Elephas maximus indicus: one gene and its partners. The protein of the gene in region 3 interacts with the protein of the main gene of each other region in a pairwise test. Links are inferred from orthologs where the notes say so. Each region holds a gene or a part of one and is shown on either strand. Other genes may lie near its edges. The genes, in order: MYBPC1, AKAP12 and FHL1.

Region 1 (7,233 bases), on a different chromosome or scaffold from region 3:
AAACATAAGATAGGCCTTTTATCTGGAACTGACAATATAAACAATATAGTTCTCCAGTAAATACACGTCTGATGAAGGTGAAGAGGAGGGCAATGGAAGTGGCTGCTTCTTAAAAACAATACTTTCTGTCTCCAAAAGAGGTCACCAGGCCACCCAGAATATGTTCAAAGGTCTAAATAAGGACCGTCAGCTAATTACTTCCATTAGCCTTCCTCCTTGATGTTCAAACTTACACCTGTCCTTCCTTCTTCCTCCTCCTTAGAAGGGCCAACTCTCCCAAGACCCCAATGAATCTCCCAGAACTAGGCTCGTGTAGGTTGGGAGGGAGTAGAGCAAAATGTTCTTTGCACCTTCAGGTGCTGAAAACTCAACCTCTTTTGAAAAGTTACCAGGTCCTCCTGGGTCCTAGGAGGGCCACACCAGACCATCAAGATTCACAGCAAATGATTATGTCTTTCCTGGCATGGTTTTCCCAGCTGAGGAAGAGCGCTAAGAAGAGCTGCTAGAGCTAGGTGAACCCGTTTGTGGGGAGGGTTTCTGCAGCTAGTTTGAAATGTTTCTGAAGAATTAGTTTGGTGGCTTGTTTTTTACTTGGGGCTGTCTTCGAGAGGGATGTTTACATGGACCAAAACCAACACCAGTGACAATGAAATCACGGTTAGGAGAAGGTGCAAGGACTAGACGAATTCATGAATTACCATAGTCCTTAGGATTCTGATGTGCACAATATTAAAATGCAGTGATTTCACCAGGACAACGCTTTGAGGTACAGATCTTTTAAGAATCAGTTATGTTGGTAAGGAAACAAACAAACAAAATGCCTGTGTGTTCTAAAGGATTTTAAATATATCTGTCATTTTCTTTTTACTCCACTCCAAATTTAAACTAATCAAAGAATCTATGGGCACAAAATTAATGTCCTTGCTGAAGGGACTCTTACATATTTTTATAGCAACAGTGTTTTTACAGCCAAAAAAAAGGATTGTGGAGACTTTGGTATCCATGCAGATTTATTAGGGGGAGAAAAGAAATATTTTCCTCCTTCTGGCTCTAAAATTTCACCCTCTCTGAAAGTAAAACGGATCAGATTGAGTGGTCAGACAAAAAATGTAAAACTTCCCAGCATCTAGCAATCAGAATAATTTAATTAGCTTTATAGGCTCTACAGCCTACTACCTTATTAATTAATTTTTCAGCATTGCTGGCAGTTTCAATTGGCCTTTAAAATAACAAACACAAATTTATCCCCCAAATTCAGGATAATTACAACAATATTCTGCTCTAGGCCAGGAAACATAGACTGTATTCCACTCAAGTAAGCTTTGAAGAGGCTAGTCAAGTGACAGATCAAATAAAAAGGACACTTAATACACACGTAAATCATTTGCATTACAAATAAGACCCTTTAGCAGGGGCTGGACTCGCTGCCTGATCAGCAGGATTAAGTCCCCATATTAATGCATGCATTTGGTGTGGTTATTTTGGGTGGAAGACTTCATCCATCAATGCCCTCCGCCACTAAGTAAAGCCAACCTGTAAACTGATCACCACAGCCTGTCAACACCAGTTACTTAATTACATAAAGAAAATGTATTTAAAAGGCTTTTGATAATTTGGTTAGTGTTTCGACTTTGGGTTCAATGTGCGGCATATGTTTCAGGGTACCTCAAAAACAATGGTTAAAAGGCATTTTTAAGAATTGAAGGCAAAATGGAAAAAAACTAAATGCTATTTTTATGCCTCCTGCTAATCTTTTTTTAATATTTTTTATAATCTTCTTTTTTTGGTTTTATTTGCAGAAATAAAAATATCCGGTATGCACTAATTAAAGCTAAAATGAATAAAATGGCATTGTTTTAAGACATTTCCATTAAAAACTAAACAAGGTACTGTACCATTCAACTATTCTGATTAGTAAATTTTAGCAATTATTAATTCTAACTTATCACTTAGTTATTATTAATAATGTTATTAATTGGTAATTTTAAAATATTGATCAAATCTTTTTCTCATAGAAAAATGAAACTTGTTTTTGGAAGAAATTTTTTTTGACTGAAGAGTGATTTTATGTTTTCACTTTAATTACTTATAAAAGTCTACACCTTATGGAATTATCTACATAAAACTAGTGAAAGAATACAATCTATCTGTGATATCCAGAGGTATTCTCTTTTACCAGGGTGTTTGATTTTCTTTCCGTGTAAGAAATCAATAATGTCATCCCTATGGAAGTTCCAAAACACTGATAAAAGCAACAAATACCTACATTTGTATATGGAAAAAATATATAATAAATCTGGAAATACTGTCATAACAATTCTTTTTTGAAATCCTGACCAAATCTGTTAACCATTTAAGAAAGCATTCCAAGTTCCCCAGCCCCCCTTCCCCCCGCCCATCTTGCAAATACAAGGTGAAAAATTTATGATTGAGCCTAGGAAAATATGCTTGGAGATGTAATCTCTTCACCACTGGCAATTAACATCTTTAAATTACACTTTAAGGATCCCTTGCAATTGAATGATAAAAGTATAACTTGATCATTATAGCCAATATTCCTTCATAAACTTTATCAGATAATTTTCAATTAGTTAAATTCTCGATGTCTTTTCCCTCTCTTCTTTTTATTCTAAAGTATCCTTTCCTTAAATCAAAGTGATTCTATTATTTTGCATGCTGTTTTAAAAATTGGATATCTGTTTTAAAAGAAATACCAAAATAAACACACTTTAATGAAAAGTATAAGGTTTATGAGTGAGTCTTACCCTCTTTCTTAGTGGGTTCTGGCATGACCACAGTAAAATGTTATTTTCCAAAGAGTTTTCTTGGCTCCAGGACTAGTTGACAGAAACCCCACGAGCAGTCAAGAGATGGGGGAGGTCAGCGTGACAAGCAGTTGGGGAGAAATCCTGAGCTTTTATACTGCCTCTGAATATCAATCATGTTGGCACCTCCCCTTCTTCAGCGCAAAGATGCTGGAACTTGACAGCTCTGAGGACCTTTCTCCCATCTGTTGTCTGCACTCTGCTCTCTCGCCTGCTGGAAGGAATCTCCTGCCCATCTCATGTGGTGAGGACACCTCTAGCTTTCTAAATTCAGCGCAGCCTCGTGCTCCTTCTTGCTCTTCTCTTTCTGTCTGACACATGCATGTGCCGGCTCAAGAGTGCAAAAATTTGGTGGGATAGTAGAAAATCAAATTAAAATCATAACACGCTGATGAACACGTATCTTAATTTGCACAACCATTAGAAAGAACAATCTCTCTGTATTCAGATGGTAATTTTTATGCTCCATTAGTTTTCATCTTTACCAGTTCTTAATTACTGGATGTTAAAAAAAAAAAATTGTATTTTTATTAATAGGTCAAGTGCCAAGTCAAATTTCCATTGAATATCTTGTCTTATTTTCTCCTCCAAGCATAGCAAAATTTCCTGTTAAGGAATACTTATCATTTGCCTTTTTTCAAGAAACTTTCTTTTAAAAAAGCACAGGGCAAAAAAGGGAATGAAGTACTGATACATACTACAAACATGGATGAACCTCGAAAGTATTGTGGTAAATGAAAGAAGCCAGACACAAAAGGCCACATAATGTAGGATTCTGTTTGTATGAAATGCCCAAAATGAGCAAATCCGTAGAGACAGAAAGCAAATTAGTGGTTGCCAGGTGGTGGGAGGAGGTGGAATGGGGAGGGATCACTAATAGGTTGTTGCTGTTAGCTCCTTGAGTCGCCCCTGACTGACGGCGACCCTGTATGCAAGGGAACTAACTGCTGCCTTGCCCTGTGCCATCTCCATCATTGGTTGTGGATCGGACCACTGTGATCTACAGGATTTTCATTGGCTGATTTTTGCAAGTAGATTGCCAGGCCTTTCTTCCTAGCCCATCTTAATATCAAAGATCCACTGAAACCTGTTCAGCGTCACAGCAACACGAAAGGCTTCACGGACAGAGGAGTGGTGGCTGCACTTGTGGCGCATCGGCTGGGAATCAAACCTGGTTCTCCCACAGCGAAGGCTACAATTCTACCATTGAACCAACACTGCCTCTCTAATGGATACAGGGTTTCTTTTGGGAGAGATGAAAATGTTCTGGAATTATAGAGTGGTGGGTGAGGGTTGCACAACTTTGTGAATATGCTAAAAACCACTGAATTGTGCACTTAAAAAAAATATGCAGGATGGCAAAGAAAGTCAGATGGACCAGGAGCTATTGTTTTGTTTTCAGGTGACACACTAACACACATATCTAATTTATGATATTGGTAGAATGTATCGATTTGGCCACTTTCTCTCAAAAACCTCATGGAACTGTTAGAGAAATATGAGCTACAAAGTGTCAAACTAAAAAAAGATACCTTTCTTCATTCACATGCATAGGATTTCAGAGACTAAGACTGAAATTAGTTTATATATAAAGACAACTTCTTGGCATGCCTTCATTGGTGGGTATTTTCGAGATTTGTTTCAAGACACTTTGATTGATTTGTACTGAACCAGCCACACTGTCTCATTTAATTTCTCCTGTGGCTAAGAGCACAGCTGGTCAGACTTAGCATTACCAAACTCTGTGCCAAGCTAACTTTTCATATAGGGATGGAAACTCAACTTGGAACTCAATAGCATCACGCTTCAGCTATGTGTACGCGTGGGGGTGGGGGGAGCGGTCAAGAAGGTCAGTGAACATCTTCTCTAAAGAAAGCTCTTTCTCAACCACATAATGCTACTGAGCACGTCCTTTCGCTTTCTTAAATATTTTTTTGCCCTTAGAGGCTATCTTAGCTTTTTTTTTTTTTAGTACTGTTGTAACAGAAATACCACAAGTGGGTGGCTTTAATGAACAGAAATGTATTTTCTTACAGTTTAGGAGGCTTAGAAACCTGAATCCAGGGCCCCGGCTCTAGGGCGAGGCTCTCTGTTAACTCTGGTGGAAAATCCTTGCCTCAGCTTCTCTACCCTTGGTTCCTTAGTTCCTTGGCTATCTCCATGTGGTGTCTACCTTTCCCCCATTTGTGCCTCATCTGCTCTTTTTTTGTTGTTGTTGGGGTGAGATGGTATCTCATTATAGTTGCGTTTTTATTTATTATTTATTTATTGTACTTTAGATGAAGGTTTACAGAACTAGTTTCTCATTAAACAGTACACATATTGTATTATGACATTGGCTAACAACCCCATGACATGTCAACACTCTCCCTTCTTGATAATCTGCTATTTTTATAGCTCAAAAGTAAGTTTACGATATACCTATATGTGACCTCATTTACATAATAAAGAAAACCCTATTCCCAAATGGGTTTACAGCCACAGGAATAGGGGCTAGGATTCCAACACATTTTGGGGGGAGGGTCACACAATTCAATTCATGAAAAAAACACTTAGCTAAATGTCAGTCAGAAAACAGCACATCCTGTAACAAAGTAAGATGTGGCATGAAAAAAAAAGTAACTTTCCTGAACCTGAGACCAGAGTGTCCATTAACAGATGAAACAAATTAAAGAACCTAAAACATGAAGTCAGACCCTTGGCTTCTATTTGTGGCCCTATCATTACCTAGTTGTATTACCCTGAGAAAGTCAGGTGGTCTTTCTGGGCCTCAGATTCCTCTTTTGTAAAAAACCAAAAAAAAAAAAGAGGCCCCTTCTAGGTTGAACATTGTGATTCTACACAGAGGTCCTCAAAAAAGGATCTTTTGTTTTTCAGCATCCCCAGGACACTCAACACCACATACAAAATGGACGTAAGAGCCGAGTATCATATGGCAAAAGAACGTTTAGAGTGATGGGCAGATTTCACACATGCCACAAAGGAGGTGCCGTGCCATCACTGGCTTCTGACACATTGCAGAAACCCTGTTGGGTTTTTAATCCACTGATCATTTTACTGAAGTGCACATGTGCCAGGAAATACTGCAACCCATGGAGAAAATATTTTATGACCTTGGGAACATTTAGGTCATAAAGGACTTGATTTTAAATGACAAAATGTAATGAAAGGAATTGGAAGTGTGGATAAATTCTAAGATAAAGAGTTGTAGAGTGTACCAGGTGGCTGAGGTAAAATTTTAACTTACAATAATAAGTCTATGTGTAGTTTTCTCAGAACTGTACAGTTTTGGAAACACAAAGCTTTCTTTCAGATGTTATAGATCTATTTCAAACGTAAGTGGCTTCCTTTTCTTCCATCCCTCTCTCAGGAAGGGGAGGGGAAACGGTCAACGGGATTATTTTTAATAAAAAAATTTTTTGTGTGGCAAAATACTTTATTGGATTTTTCCTTTTGTATTATGTAGGATGACGGTTGGCTGCATATAAGACAAAATCACAAAATAACAACAGTCGAATCAAGATAGGAGTATTTCTCTCTCACGTACAGCAAGTCCAGAGGCACGTAGTCTAACGTCATTATGGCGGGTCCGGGAATCCAGGGTCCTTCTTTTTTCCTCTCTACCATTCTCCAGGTAACTTCATGGACTAAAACAGCTGCTAGTGTTTTAGTCATTAAATTCACGTTTCAGGCAGCAGAAAAGATCAAAGAAGGACTCACCTTCTCTCTTTTAAAGACCCTTCTTGAAAGTGTCACACAGCACGTCTAATATATCCTCCTAGGAAGAACTTGGTTACATGGACATATCCAGCTACAAACAAAACTGGGATAGGTAGTCTTTCAGTTTCACTGACAGTTCGCTCAGATAAAAACTGAGGTTTTGTTACGGAGGAGAAATGGGAAGAATGGATGTTGGATAGGCAATTACCAATCTCTGGAACACCTTTCAAAATAAAAGCAATAATGATTCCTGCATCAGCCGAAGACTGCAGAGAAGTATAATTAGCACGCCAACAATCTCACCCTGTTTCCAAGGTATGAATTAGGGTCTAACTTTTCTCTATGCATGTACAAACACACACAAACTTATATATTCACTTTGTCTACTTTTTATGAAATGGCATCATATTATTTACATGACTCTTCAACATGCTGTTTTCATTTAATCTGTCACAGACATCCCTCCATATTAATACATATCGTCCTAACTAAGTCTTTTTAATAGCTGAATATCATGCCATAATTTCTTACCTACTTCCCTTCTGATGGCTATTCAGATTGTCTCCTGTGCCTCACCACAATGAGAAATACTGCAATAAACATCACATACTATTTTTTTTTTTTACTATAACTTTATATATCGGTATTTTTAAAATATACCATACCACACTGTTTTGATTACTGTAAC
Region 2 (7,714 bases), on a different chromosome or scaffold from region 3:
CTGCTAGGTAGAAGTGATAACACAATTAGAGTTCTTCTTTTGAGATGCAGACACTCAGTGAGTTATCTGCTAACTGAAATTGGCAGGAAAAAAAAAAAAAAAAGGAAGGTGAATTGCTAAATAAGCAGCATGCATGTCATTCAGATAGGGAAAAAAAAAATTATGATTGGCATTCTACCCAGGGGGAAGATGAATTTATTAGCCTAAACTTCCCCCAAATGTCCACAGGCCCAATCAAGAAGGCTCAAGATATAATTCCTAACTAATTCAATGTATGAAGTAATCTTACCTGGGCTACTTGAACTTGATATATTTGTCTATTTGAGAATAAAGGCAATTCAAAACTGCAATGCAAACAAGCCACCAGGACTTTATGGAAATAAAAACCAAAGTCCACAAACCTGATTTTTTTTCCCAAAGAACCCACGCAATTAATAACCAAACAAACTGACTTGACTTAGTCACTATCTCATATTTGAGACCCATAATGGTAACAAGAATGTCAAAGGTTAAATTGTAAAAAAGTAGATGGGTCTGCCCCAACTTGACAGTTTCCAGTCAAAACCAGAAAGCCAATAGTGTCCCTTCTTTGCACAAATATTTATTGAGAGCCTACTATGTGCAAGGCAGCATGTTACACATGGGGACACCTGGTGTGAGCAAAAACAGATATGGTCCCCACCCTTGTAGAGCATCCAAAACAGCCAGGGAAAGCACTTAGTAGTGGAGTCACGAAACCCATAAATGTGGAAACTGCCGGGAAGAAGGATCCATGATGCTTTGCGAGCAGAGAGTGGCAGATGGGACTATTCAGAGGTCAGGAATTGGAGCTTAAAGGGCCAAGAGGGGAGGTAAAAGTTACCTGCTGAGTCATTATTAATTGGAGAGCCCTCTTGAAAAACCTTAGGTCTGCAAAACCTGAGTCATAAATTTTGCTGGTTGAAATGAAAAACGGCATTTTTCAAGGATACATGTAAGCGTATTGATTTGTCTCCAAATTGATAACCGGGAAGCATGCCAACCAGTAAAATGATAATCTGGGTGTCATTTAAATAATTTTCTAGAGGAGGCAGTCTGGCTGTTTCAAGATGGCGGTGACTAGGAAAGAGGATGAAAGGCAAGGCTATGGAAAAAGGATAAAGAAGAGAATGGAAGGCATGTTTTAAAACAAGAATTCAAGTTTACTGGAAAAGGGAATGAGTACCATATTCTAGTGTGAATAGTTAATAAGATCTGAATGGGTCATAAAAGCCAAAGAAAAGAAAATGTTCCCCAATTGCAAGTTTTTTAAAAATTGAACCTTAAAATTATTTTCATCACTGGATTTGAGACACTGGTTATACAGCCATCTTGATAATAATAAAAAAAAAAATTTTTTTAATAGCTGGTATCAAAAAGTGATATCAATAATGCTAAAATACTCGTCCTCAAAAGGATAGTACATTCCCTAGGCCAGAAGCTGAGGCACAGTAAACACACAATACCTAGGGCCAAGGATGCTACAGGTAGTTACAAGTTAAAGATTGGAGGTAAACTACGTTATTAGAGCAGTCTCTCAGCCCACACTAGACCAGGACAGCTAAAGCGGTCAAGGCAATGAAGTCATACTTCTGCGAAATTTACCTAAATTTCAACATGTGTGGTCCCCCCCCACCCCGCCCCACTGGAAACGTCTGTACCTCTTGAAATTATTCTTAAAGGTCCTTAAGTACTTTCTATCCTCCATTTCGACGTAGAAGGTTATTAAGGTATTACGTATGGTTATCCACATCTTCCTATGAGGATGTCACAAAGCCGGTGGGGCAACGCCCTGTTATCATAAACACACATGCTGGAAAACAGATCTAAAACACAACGATCACACCAAGTCACCATCTTGGCAGCTGTAGTGGCCCAGAATCAGGTAACAATTCAGCCTTGGAGATTTAGGACGGTAAAATGCAATATTTCTAGGCTATGTGAGGTTCAGCACCACCTACATGGAAAAGAGTACAGGGAATGCTCGCTTACTGACCACATCCTTCGAGAACTTCTAACAACTACTCCAGTATTTGTTTATCCAACTGAGTCCAAAGACAACGAACTGAACCAAAGGGTGGACGCAGACTTGCTTGCGAAACCTGTCATTCCTTTTGGACATGCGGCGTCTGCCCGGGGTTTTCTTGGCTGCGCGCTTGCCACACCACCCGCTCTGTCTGCATCAGGAAGGCGGTGTCCGCCCAGGCGGCTGCCGCAGGAGGACTGGGTACCAACCTGGTCACTCCGGGCACCGCTGGCATCAAGGCCAGGCGCGGCGGGGGATCTGAGCGTGGTCCCAGCCCACTGCTCACTTTCCGCATCTGTGAGAAAGGGCGAGGGAGTACACGGACTCGCCCCACGCCCCCAGTCTGGGTCGTTCCCACCGGAAGAGTGTGCAGAAAGGCTTGGCGGTGGGCAGGGGCAGATTTTATGACTGCGGATGGCGCAGTCGCCTCCCCTTGAGACCCACGACCAAGACCCAAGCCCCCTGCCGCGCTCGCCGCGGTTCTTGTCCCGGCCCGGCGCACAAGCCCCAGAAAAGCTTAGAAAGAGGGATCGGTGCTCCCGAGTTTGCACAAGGGCTGGCGGGGCCGTGGAGTTCTCGCAGGCAGAAATCAGGGGGAGCCCCCGCCCCAACCCCGGGCAGGTGGCCCGCTCACCAGTACCTTTGCGGCGGGGTCCGCGGCGGCGACGGCGGGATCCCCCAACGCGCCGGACGCCGTCTCCTCCGAGGGGCCGCCGCCACTGGGCTCGGGCTCGGGCTCGGGCTCGGCCAGCGGCGCGCTCCCCGCCTCCGGCTGGTCGGGGCTGCGCTGCTCGCTGGAGCTGCCGGCGCCCATGGCTTCTCGGCGCTTCTCCCGCGGCCGGCCGCCTGGTTACGCCTCCGCCGAACCTCAGGGACCAGCAAGCAGAAGTGCGCCCGGCGAGGTCCCACGCGTGGCTTCCTCTCCTGCCTGCCTCCTCCAACGAGCCCCGACTGCGAATGAAGGAGACGCGCTCGCCGCAAACTCCTTAAAAGAAAAAAAAAAAAAGCCACCTCGTAGCCTCCTCCCCTCCCCTTGTTTTTCCCTCGCCTCATCACATGAGCACAGCCCCAGACACGCCTTGCAGCAGCATCTCCCCAGGCTGCTTGGACCCGAGGCGCAGCGAGCGACGCACGTGAGCCAAGGTCCTAGTGCAGCCCACCCGGACCCCTCGGGCGCCTCCCGCTTATAAAAGGGGACCAGGGCCGAGGGAACCAGCAAGGGTTGCAGAAGGTGAGGGAGGAGCAGAAAAGAGGGCGAGCAGAAAGCCTCCCGGGGACATTGGATTCGCTGGGTTTTATTTTTAAATGATTGATAACCCAAGGCAGGCGCTTCTCCTGCAGCTGACTTTCGAGTGGCTCAGAAGCGAACCAAATCCCTATTTGCTTTCCTTCAGATTGTGTTTGACTCTAAACATTCGTTCTAGCCTCCTCATTCGCAGGAGAAAGGCAAGCGCTCCTGGGCTCCTCCGGAGTCTGACCATATTAGGGCAACTGCCGTGGCAGGAGCAGGGAGCTGAGAGGTTAACGCAGGCAGACCACAGATGAGGTGAGCTCGGCAGCCCCGCGCTCTCCTATCGTCCGGCACAAGTGATGTCAGCCGATGTCATCAGCAAGACTGACTGCCCTCTTTCCCTGGGGAATGGGGGGGGGGGGAGTGAGACTGTTACCGGAAATGTGCCTCTCCTTGGAGCGCCCAATGCTAGAGGTTACCTACCATCCAGGCCGCTGCTGGCTCGAGTGATGCTGAAACTGATCACAGAGCCCTGTTCATTTTTCCATCAGTATTTGTCAGTAGATGCAGGCTTTAAAGTATACCAGTCTAAGTGGCTTGCATTTTTTCCCCTTTGTGAATATGGTATTCTATCAACATAACTTAACGGGCAGTCAATAAATATTTCAACTAAATTAAATTTTTAGCTGGACTATTTGGCACAACAGCATGAAGGTGTTGAGGCTGGAAGATAGAAATTATCCCAGTTTTATCTGACAAGGAAGCAGCTTGGCTTTCACTAACAGTTGGAATCAAAACTCAATAAAAATGAAGAACCTTTTGGCATACTGGCACTAACACCAGACGAATGCCACATACCCAGACTGACTACCCACTAAAAAAAGCAATATTTAAGCTCTGGGATATTTTGCGCCTAATTAATTGCCTGTATTGTAACAGCATTCTGGGAATCATAGATTTATTATCTAGCAGAAAGTTTGTTTTCTGAATTAACCATTTTTATGCAAAGAAGTACACAAAGGCCAGTTTCCTGGGAATTTATCTGTTAGTTAACAGCATAGTTGCAAAATGCTTGGTTTTAGAGATTTATAGGCATTTCACCCACTTAGACTTAAATTTTTACTATTTCAGAAACATTAGAGTACTTATTCTGTGCTAGGCACTGTTCAAAGCATTTTGCATATACAATCACATTTAATTCTTGCGATAACCCTATAGAGAGAATGCTGGTGACACAGTGATTAAGTGCTCGTCTGCTAACCAAAAGGCCGGAGTTCGAACCCACCAGCCACTTCTAAGGAGAAGGATGTGGTGGTTCTACTCTGTCCCATAGGGTCGCTACGAGTCGAAATCGGCTCAATGGCAGTGGGTTTGGTTTTTTTTATTTTATAATGCAGACATTATTCTCATTTTGCCAATGGAAGGAGTCCCTGAGTGGCACAATCGGTTTCGTTTGGCAGTTCCAACCCACCCTGTGGTGCCTTGGAAGAAAGGCCTGGGGGTCTGCTTCTGAAGGGTCACAGTCTTGGCAACTCTACAGAACAGTTCTATTCTGCACACCTGGGTTCACCACCAGTCGGGACTGACTCAAAGGCAACTCGTCTGTGTTTTCGAGGTTTTGGTTAGTGTTTTGCCAATGTTGTAGTTTTTGCCAGTAGAGAAGAAAAAAAAGGAAGCCCAAAAGAATTATGTGCTCAAGGTTATCACGACTGGTAGATGAGAGAGCGGGGGTCCACCCAGGATCTGGCTTCAAGGCTGACGCTTGTCTACTGCACGACACTTCATTCTCCCTCTGTGAGAAGCTTTCAATGTGTTCACCAGCTCCTTGGGAACGTTAGCGAGGAGGAGCTTTGGCTGTTAGGAACTCAAAACGCCGTTAAAGCCTATTTGAGAGTAATCAGCGTCAGCACAATATGACAATGTATCAGCAAGTAGTACAAATACTATCAAAATTTCCCCATTCTGTGAGATAATATTTATTCAGTTCTTGGGAAATTCATAATAAAGCTTTTCATATCTGCTAGCCTTTAAATATTCAGAAAGTATTACAAGGTCAACAGATTTCAAGCACCCATTTATACAACCCACTTGTTGAACAAGGAGTCCATGGCCGGTGTCTGCATAGATTAGCAATTTCTTGCTTTACAACCATAGATTTTCCAGGCTATGAAAATACTTAAATTCTTACTTTAAAAAAGCAAGATGTTATTTTAAGAAATGTGCACGTTCTAATACTCCCTATTCTGCCTGAAATAGCTCCATAGTTAAGGGAATATTAAGAATAACAGGCCCTTTTATGGATTCATACAAGCATACATAACTACCCTTGGTTTCTTCACTGACTTGGGAGTTACTTTTTTTAGGAAACATGGTTATGTTATTTTTTATCCCTAGCATTGAGATGTCCCAGTCTTTTGGATATGCTACTTACTGCTTCAGAACATTATTACCAAGTTCATCCATTCCTTCTTTAAACATATTCAACCAAAACTCATGGTTATCCCCTGTGTTATAGAATAAAACTGTCCATAATCTTTAGGGAAGCAGATTGCCAGGTCTTTCTTCCGTGGTGCCACTGGGCGGGTTCGAACTGCCAACCTTTAGATTTAGTAGACAAGCACAAACTATTTGGGTCATCCAGGGAACTTTGAGCACATTAATTAAGTGCCTATTATGTGCTGAGCACAGGCTTACTGTGCTCCCCAATGTTCTTGTTGTTAGCTGCTGCGAAACCAGCCCTCACTCATAATGACCCCATGTACAACTGAAGCAATCACTATCCAGTCCTGCACCATTCCCTTGATCAATTTTGAATGGGACTATTGTGATCCATGGGGTTTTCATTGGCTGGTTTTTAGAAGTAGATAGCCAGGCCTTTCTTCCCAGTACATCTTAGCCTGAAAGCTCCATTGAAACTTGTTCAGCATCACAGCAGCACACAAGAGCCTCCACTGGTAGAAGGGTGGTGACTATGTACGAGATGCCTTGGCTGGGAATTGAATCCAGGTCTCCCGCATGGAAGGCGAGAATTCTATCACTAAACCATCGGTACCCCCAAATCAAGTTACCGAGGTGTTATTTCCTAGGGTTAGGAGTTGCCTTCAGAATTGCTTGGTTTGGTGTTGGTGACATGGTGAGGGGAGTAGCTGCTGCTATTTTACACTTCTCCATTCAAGGCTCTTAATTACCTCAGCACTCTGTCTTTCTCCTCCCAACAGCCAAAGGCAGGTGTTACCACACAGACTCTCCCAGGGGAGAGCAGGTGGTAGAGTTCGTTTCCCTGAGAGGGTTAATTCTTATAATAACAGTTTGAGATTTCTCAAAAACAAATACACACTGCCAATGTAGCAGGCTGGACTTGTACTTCTTAAGCCAACTTCTCAGGGAATAGAGGTCACATGCAATTTACCAATAAAATTTAGCATCTTAATTGGGCCTCTCAAGGCCACACTAAAATGTTTTCAAATATAACCTAAAAGAATTCACAAATATGAAAGATTTTACAACTGAGATAATACACCCCCTTTAAAGGACAGTCACAATTACAATGATTGACACAGAATTTAAAAGCCACACTTAACTTTATCCTATAGATTCATTCTCTAGCTCCACAGCCTTCAGGCAATTTCACTCAGAACAGGGCAACTCCTTATCCTTGAAACTACCGCGTATCGCTTCTTTGTTTTCCCTAAATAAAAAGTCTACTTCCTTCTGTACCAGTTACTTCAACCAAGATACCCAGTCATTTTAGAATCCAACTGCTGTTCCTTTCTTTGCTAGTGATAAATCTAGATAGCTAGAAGAATTAACCATTATTCAGTTCTTGCATAACTAGTAATCCCAATGTTTATATGGAAACTACAGAAAAAGTTCAATTTACAAATGGAGTTCAAAGGTCAACCACCTGCAGATATACATCATATATATTCATATATACAGGCAACACTATCCTTATATGGAAGAATATTGACTATACCATGGACTGTCAGAAGAATGAAGAATTTGTCTTGGAAGAAGTACAGCAGAATGCTCCTTAGAAGCGAGGATGGCAAAACTTTGTCTTACGCATTTTGACACGTTACCAGGGACTCAAACCCAAGATTTCTCTAAAGTAACAAAGAAGAGGGGATGGGAGTCAATCTTTGTATTTTCCCAGCCACTGTAGAAACCTTTATAGAAGCAATTACTTATAGAGAACTAATTTAACACAGGAGCCCTGGTGGCACAGTAGTTAAGAGCACAGCTGCTAACCAAAAAGTTGGCTGTTCAAATCCACCAGCTGCTCCTCAGAAACCCTATGGGGCGGTTCTACTCTGTCCTATAAGGTCACTATGAGTCAGAAGTGACTCGATGGCAATGAGTTTGTTTTTTGGATTTTTTAATTTAACATGGCTGATACCTACAACTCCCTTTGTATAAAGAAAAAAAAATATTAAATG
Region 3 (7,728 bases):
CATGAGCTTTTGTTCAACTCCCACAAGGTTACAAAAGCCATCGTTGCTGGCGTGGGGGGAGGGGGGATATAAAAAAGAGAGGGGCGAGAGAGCGGGAAAACAGGGATCAGTCTCAGAAGATAAGCTTCCACTTTTACAAAACCCCTTGCATCCCGCTGATTCTGACTCATAGCGACCCTAGGACAGAGTAGAACTGCCCCCATAGGGTTTCCAAGGCTGTAATGTGAAAACAGACTGCCACATCTTTCTCCCACAGAGTGCTTGGTGAGTTCGAACCGCCAACCTTTTGGTTAGCAGCCAAGCCCTTAACCACTGAGCCGCCAGGGCGCCTTTCCACTGCTTCAACAAACTTATCTTTTCAATGTCAAAATTTCAGAGGCGACCATGTAGAAATTCACAAAATGTTGTGTTGTGTGTATATTACAATTAAAAAAAAAAGTTGAGATGAGGGTCAATTTCTTACACAAAGACTTGATTTACAAATTACTTTTCAAATGGGTATTAGCAAACTTGAAGACTATTTTAGAAAGATATTTAATCACACCTCCATTAATTTCTGACACTTACTCATTTTTTTCCCCCTCCAGTCCCACAAGGCAGAGAACAGGTTCTCAAGCCAGGTAAAAGACACTCCATTTGCTTTTTTTCTCTAGAGAGAAACCTAACACCCATCACCAATCAACACACTTTTTTGCAGAACATTTTACCACACTTAACTTTCTTAGACTGTATTGTAAAAATACTCTATTTTCAGACTGTTGCCTATGTACAAAACGCCTCTCATATTAACATTAGAAATGGCACAAACAATAGTGGAAATAATTGCACTGTCATCAATCTTTGAGTCCAAAACGCTCCATTTCCACTTAAACATTTCCAGTTTAACATTGCCAGTAAACAAGTAATAATTTTAAGTGGTCTATTAGTTTAAATATATATTAAATTAAATTAACTCCAAATGCGTTGCTCTTATATGAGAGGAATTTTACCAATTTAAATCTTACACAAATTTTTTCAAAGTTTCACTCAAAAATCTAGACTTGGTTGAAAAAATACTTTTCTTCTCCAAAACTTAAATATAGGAATAGTAGCTTAGAATTTCAAAAACCATATTTGGTTGAAGAATCTATATGGTTGTCTTAGACTGTGTACTTATTGTGAGGTGGTTTCCATAAATCATGCCCTAACGATCTGACCAACCTTCTGTTGCATAAAGATTATATTTGCTCTTCAAATGCTAAATAAGCATTTTTAAGGACTAAAGGTAAAGACTAGATTGGAACCTTATGTAGCCAACATGTGAATGCACATATATTTTCATCACAATAAAGGCGGATGCCTTTTCAATGCACATTGTTCTTAAACAAAAGTGAGTATGAGTTTCCAAAGGCAAAACTACCACCCCAGAAGCCCTTGCAAGGCTTCAGGATAAAGAATGGGGAGGGCTCCCTTCTGTAGAAGATGAGAAAGGGTGGGAAAGGCTTTGCACAATTCCCAGGGGCCCATAATTCAAACTTGTGCATATTTTCAAGGAAGAACATAAAATTTACATTAAAACTGTCTTAATCAAGGTAGTGAAAAAAATTATTCCTGGTGTTCTATAAGCTTGCCATAGATTTGATAACCCAGAGAAGAACTACAGGCAATTACAAAATGATGGCTCCAATTAGCAAAACTGGATCTATTCCAAACTCAAATCAAAGGGGGCTCAGATAATCCTGATGGAATGATTTAAAAGAATACTGGGGACTTCCAGCAAAGACCTAAGGTTCTTCTACTGTTTCTACCCTCCTGAAAAAAAAAAAATGCTACAATGAGGTATCTCTTGCCCTTTGGGGAATTCAAAAACCGAACCTGGACTCCCCTTAATAAACCTTGTTCTTTTTTTCCCAAGGAGTATCCCTGGTATGGGGTTTTTACTGTAAAGGGCAATAAAAACAAACCTGAGAAACCCGCAGAAAATACAGCACTGAACACACAACCTTTCCCTTAGCCTCGCTGATTTTCAAATCTCTACCTAGTCCTGGACAACTCAGAAGAGGCCGCGGGGAATACAAGAGAAACTCCGAAGGCAGAAACCTCTCGCCCAGAGCTTAGAACAGAGGGCACCTTGGAGGCATTTCATGCTTTTTTAGACGGAAAGGTCACACCCTGCAGTTTTGAAAATCCACGGTCTAGGGCTCAACCCCCGAGGTAGAGCCTCCCTCTTGCTTCCCTAGATCCATGCTGGAGGTGAAATACTCACTCTCCCCACCCCCACTCGCCAACTCCCCTCCCCCCCCCACCGCCCCCTTAAAGAGAAGACCCGCAGCGGGGGTCCTCCTTCATTCTCTATGCACTCCACCCCCGCCCCTCCATACCCCCAGCATTCCCCCTCACCTCCACTCCCTCTCATCCCCACCCCCACCCCGCCATCCTCGTGGAGAAAACTAAGGCGCGTCCCCCACCTCGCCCCCTCCCCAATCCCAGTTATCCTTGATGAAAATAGCAAGAGTACCCCGCACCTCATCTTCACTCGCTCCCCACAACCCCACCATCACCTCGCCCCACCCCCACTGCCCGCCAGCCCGTGGAGAAAACCATGAGTCCCCCCTCACTCCCTCCCCACGCCCCACCATTCCCGCAGAGGAAAGCAGGGAGAGCCCCCATTTTCACTCCCACCTCCACCCCAGCCGGCCCATCCCCATCACCGCCACCCCAGTGGAGAAAGCCCCGGGGAGGCTGAGGCACGCAGCCTAGGGGACCTCACAACCCCTCAGCCCAAAGCCACGGGGCGCCCCCTCGCCCTGGCCAGGCCGTCCAGGCCCGAGGCTGCAGGTACCCAGCTCTGCAAGTCGGCAGCCAGTGCCAGGGGCCAACTGGGATCGCTGGCTCCCGCGCGGGGCAGGAGGGCAGCCTCCGCCGGGACGCGGGCCAGGCGGCGGGAGGCGCCCCGCACGCACATGCCTAGAGAAAAAGGGCTTACTGCGTGGGATGCTCGCCCGCGCGGCTGCTCGGTGGTGGCGCCGCTGCCTGCACCGAGGCCCAGGCGGCAGCGGTGGCGGCAGCGGCGACGGCGGCGGCGACTGCGGACTGAGCCCCTCGGCCGCGCTGGGTGTGCGCGCAGGAGGGGAGCAGGGGCGGCGCGCGCAGGAGCGGCGGGGGGCGTGAGCGCGCGAGGAGGGAGGGCGGCGGGGGTCGTGAGCGCGCGGGAGGGGACCGGTGGGAGGCGTGAGCGCGCGGGGGGCGGTGGGGGGCGTGAGCGCGCGGGGGGGCGGGGGGGCGTGAGCGCGCGGGGGGCGATGGGGGCGTGAGCGCGCGCGGGGGCGGGGCTGCGGTACAGGGGGCGCGCGCCGGAGCCTGTTGGCCCTCGGCGGGATGGGGGCCGCCACGCACCCCACGCGGCCACGTGCCCGCCCCGGGAGAGGCCCAGCCGGAGGCCTGCAGGGCGCGGGCGCGGGAAGTCTGTTGCGGGAGGCGGGCACGAGCGTTGCCCCAGAGGGCCGACGGGGGCGCCAGGCGGGGGGCGCCCGGGGCCCCTCCCTCGCGCCGCGCCAGGCCATAGGCCTTCGAGGCCGACGGGAGTCACGAGGCACCGCAGGCAGGCCCCGCGAGGGCAGGGGAGGTGGGAGAAACAAAGGCAGGCGAGCAAAGGTGGCGGCTCGGCTCAACAGGGGCCTCAGCTAACCTGTGCACTCCGGTCAAGCCGCAGGTGCAGTAGCGCATCACGTTCCCGCCTGGTTTGCGGAGTCCCGCCGGCGACCCCTCCCCTGAGTCACAAGCTGGAGGAAGCAAAGGGAACCCCCGCCTTATACTGGATGCCAGGATCCAGAGGGCTTTACTCGGAAAGCACGGGTGGCGAAGTGGTACTAGGCAACTCGTTCATTCATTCAACATTCAGTCGACTGAGCCCTCACCATGTGCCAAGCACAGTGCCAGGCGCTGGAGGTACAGTGCAGTCACTCAGACACTGTCCACCATACCCTCGGAGCTTGCAATCTAGCGGGGGAGACAGCAACAAAGAAGTGAGGATATGAATTTCGGATAGGGCCTCTGCAGGCAAAGAAAACCAAAAAAAAAAAAAAAAAAAGAACCCCGTTGCTGTGGAGTCAATTTCGACTCATAGTGACCCTATAGGACAGGGTCAGGGTAGAACTGCCCCATAGAGTTTCCAAGGAGCGCCTGGTGGTTTTGAACCGCTGACCCTTTGGTTAGCAGCAATAGCATTTAACCACTACGCCACCAGTGCAAATTAGTGTAGTTGGGAAGGGAGGAGGTGGCCTTTAAGCTGAAAGTTATGAAAGAAGCAACCTTATGAAAAGCCAGGGAAAAATCCTTCCAGAAAGAGGGAGCAAATGTATGAAAGCCAGAAGGGAGGGACAAATCTTGATGGGAATTGTGATTGGCACCGGGAAAGCTGGGGAGAGTGGCACAATATAAGGTTGGACAGATTGACAGGGACCAAATCGTGGAATGCATCATCTTCCATGGGTAGAAGTTTCCATTTTATTCCAAAATCAACGGGAAGCCATTGAGTGAATGAATTGACGTAGGGGCATGACATGATCTGATTTATATTTCTTTTAATTAATCTTTTGTTCTATTGAGATAATTGTAGATTCACATGCATTTGTTAAGAAATACAGAGAGGTCCCCGTGTACCCTTTACCTACTTTCCCCCAATGCAAAACTATAGTACAAGATCACAACCAGAACGTTGACAGTAGTACAATTCACCAGTCTTACTCAGATTTTGCCACTTTTACTTGCATTCATTTGTGTGTGTGTATTTAATTCTACACTTGCTTGAGAAAAAGGTTAGCAGACTCACCCCATCCTGGCCAATCAGCTATTCCGCAGGTGGTTTCCACCCAATACCAGCCCTGCCCCCAGCTCAAAAGAAACAGATAAGAGGTACTCAAGATGGAAGGCACTGGACCAAGGGCCCTCTCCCAGGGAAACTTCTGGCCACTCTTTGGCACTGAGTCAATGTTAGTTGTGGTTCAGACCTCCCCAGCCCCCTCCCTTCTTTGCCCTCTTTTTGGCCATTCTTCCTTCTTCCCCAACCCCCTTCCTTCTTGCTTCCTTCCTTCTTCCCTCCCCCACGTCTTTCCTCCCTTCCTCTCTTCCGCAGACATTTACGGTGCTCATACTAGGCATAAGGTAAGGTCTGCTGCCTGAGCACATTGTCCTCTTTTATCTGTGCACAAAGCCAGCCCTGGCTGCCTCCTAACACATCTTTTTGTTCGGTGCTGTCGACGCCATGTACAACAGAACGAAACATTGCTGAGTCCTGCAACAGCCTCACAATCTTTGCTATGTTTGAGCTCATTGTCGCAGCCACTGTGTCAATCCATCTCGTTGAGGGTCTCCCTCTTTTTCGCTGACCCTCTACTTTCAATCGCCTAACACGTTAGCTCCTTGGATTTGGACTTCATGGGTCATGAAAACACAGAGTTCCACATTTTAAAGCATATGGGGGATTGTGACACCTGTTGCAGAGGAAGCAAACAGATAAAAGATAAATGTAATGTGTGCACAAATTGCAAACGTGTGCACACATTACATTTTGTTAATGCTTTCAGGATTAAGAAGCAAAAAGAAATTAATAGACTAAAATATTTAATTTCCAATTCTCCCCAACGCACACATAGTATTTTAAAGCAAATCCAAGATATCATATTATTCCATCCAGAAATACTAAAATATATATGGGTAAAAGAAAAAAACTTTTTTTTAAACATAAGCATGCTATCATCATCACACCTAAAAGTAGTTAACTAAAATCCTTTATTAGCCACAAAGATCCAGTCAGAATTCAGAATTCCACAGTTGTCTTACAATTTTTTTTTTACAGTTTATTCCAACCAGGATATTTTTAAAGGCCCATTTATTACATTTGGTTGCTATGTCTCTAATTAATGGTTCTCAAATGAATGAGTGCATTCTCCCCACCTTCTCTCACCCACCTCTCCTCCTGTTAGTCCAAATTCTACCCATTTTACAAAGACCCATCTCTCTGATGCTGTAACTTGCTTGAGCTATTCTCTGATATTCCAGCTAAAAGTAATCTCTCCCTCCTCTCGTAGCATTTCTTGTAAATTTAACCTTATTACATTTAACCTTATATTAAAGATTTTGTGAAGACAGCTGTATTAGTTTCCTAAAGCTGCCTTAACAAATTACCACATAGTAGGTGGCTTAAAACAGTGTAAACTTATTCTCTCACAGCTCCGCAAGCTTCTTGTTGTTAGGTGCCGTGGAAGTTGGCTCCAACCTACAGCAACCTTATGTATAATGGAATGAAAGTTGCCCGATGCTGTGCCATCCTCATAATTGTTGCTATGTTTAAGCCGACAGTTGCAGCCATTGTGTCAATCCATCTCATTGAGGGTCTTCCTCTTCTTCGCTGACCCTCTACCAAGCATGTCTTTCTCCAGTGATTGGTCCCTCTGGATGACGTGTCCAAAGTGAGCAAGATGAAGCCTCACCATTCTAAGAGGCATTCTGACTGTCCTTCCTCCAAGACAGATTTGTTTGTTCTTCTGGCAGTCCATGGTATATTCAATATTCTTCGGCAACATCACAATTTGAATGTGTCAATTCCTTACTCCTCCTTTTTCAATGTCCAGGTTTCACATGCATATGAGGTGATTGAAAAGACCACGCACACCTTACTCATGAAAATGACAACTTTGCTTTCTAACACCTTTAAAGAGGTTTTTTGCAGCAGATTTGCCCAATGTATATGTCTTCTGATTTCTTGACTGCTGCTTCCATGGGCATTGATTGTTGGTCCAAGAAGAATAAAATCCTTGACAACCTCAATTTCTTCACCATTTATCACTATGTTGTTTATTGGTCCAGTTATAAGGATTTTTGTTTTCTTTATGCAAGCTAGTAAGTCTGAATTGAGAAATGTACAGGGCCATGCTCTCTTCAAAGGCCCTAAGGGAATATCTTCCTTGTTTCTTCCAGCTTCTAGTAGCCCCAGGCTTTCCTTGGCTTGTGGCAGCATAACTTCAATTCCGCCTCTGTCCTCAAATAGTGTTCTTCCCTGTGTGTCTCTTCGCTTCTTATTAAGGACATAAGTCATAAAGAGATTAGGGTTCAGCCTAGTAACTTCATCTGAACTTACCTAATTATATCTGCAAGACCCTATTTCCAAACAAGGTCACATTCACAGGGATCGAGGTTTAGGCCTTCAAGACATTTTTTTAAGGACACAATTGCCAGCCCCCTGGCCTCCTGAAATTCAAGTCTTTTCCACATGCAAAATGCATTCACTTCATCCCCACACCCCCAAAAATCTTGACCCATTCCAGCATCAACTCTAAATCCAAAATCTCATCTTCTAAATCAACTAAATCAGGTATGGGTGAGACTCTGGTATGGTCCCTCCCCTGGGGCAAAATTCTTCATCTCTGAACCTATGAAACAACAACAAAAAAAAGTTATCTGCTTCCAAAATATGATGGTGGGACAGGCATCGGAAAGACATTCCCATTCCAAAAAGGAGAGATTGGAAGGAAAAAAGGGGTCACAGGTCTCAAGGAAGGGTAAAACCCAGTAGGGCAAATTCCAATAGTTTTCAAGGCCTGAGAATAATTTTCTGCAGTTCAATCAGCACTCTTGGCTGGCAGAGGCCCCAAGGACCTTTCATCCCACCTGGGATGAGGAATCCTGACCTCTCAGCCCACTGTGGCGGCTTCATCCTCTAGAACCCAGGAGGCAGTGACCTCTGTCCTC

The links.
Region 1: the proteins of FHL1 (region 3) and MYBPC1 interact in a two-hybrid assay, tested with the Homo sapiens proteins (2 studies listed by BioGRID and IntAct). The link is inferred for Elephas maximus indicus from reciprocal best matches to the Homo sapiens genes FHL1 and MYBPC1.
Region 2: the proteins of FHL1 (region 3) and AKAP12 interact in binary tests that used the Homo sapiens proteins (3 or more experiments, as listed by UniProt). The link is inferred for Elephas maximus indicus from reciprocal best matches to the Homo sapiens genes FHL1 and AKAP12.

What each region holds. Positions count from the first base shown.
Region 1 is NC_064822.1:167,861,369-167,868,601, reverse strand, and holds the start of MYBPC1 (myosin-binding protein C, slow-type), read right to left. Parts: upstream 3,004-7,233; 5' UTR 2,791-3,003; coding exon 2,766-2,790; intron 1-2,765. UniProt on the Homo sapiens protein: Thick filament-associated protein located in the crossbridge region of vertebrate striated muscle a bands. Slow skeletal protein that binds to both myosin and actin.
Region 2 is NC_064819.1:222,609,880-222,617,593, reverse strand, and holds the start of AKAP12 (A-kinase anchor protein 12), read right to left. Parts: upstream 3,026-7,714; 5' UTR 2,859-3,025; coding exon 2,685-2,858; intron 1-2,684. UniProt on the Homo sapiens protein: Anchoring protein that mediates the subcellular compartmentation of protein kinase A (PKA) and protein kinase C (PKC).
Region 3 is NC_064846.1:19,884,409-19,892,136, forward strand, and holds the start of FHL1 (four and a half LIM domains protein 1), read right to left. Parts: upstream 3,076-7,728; 5' UTR 2,966-3,075; intron 1-2,965.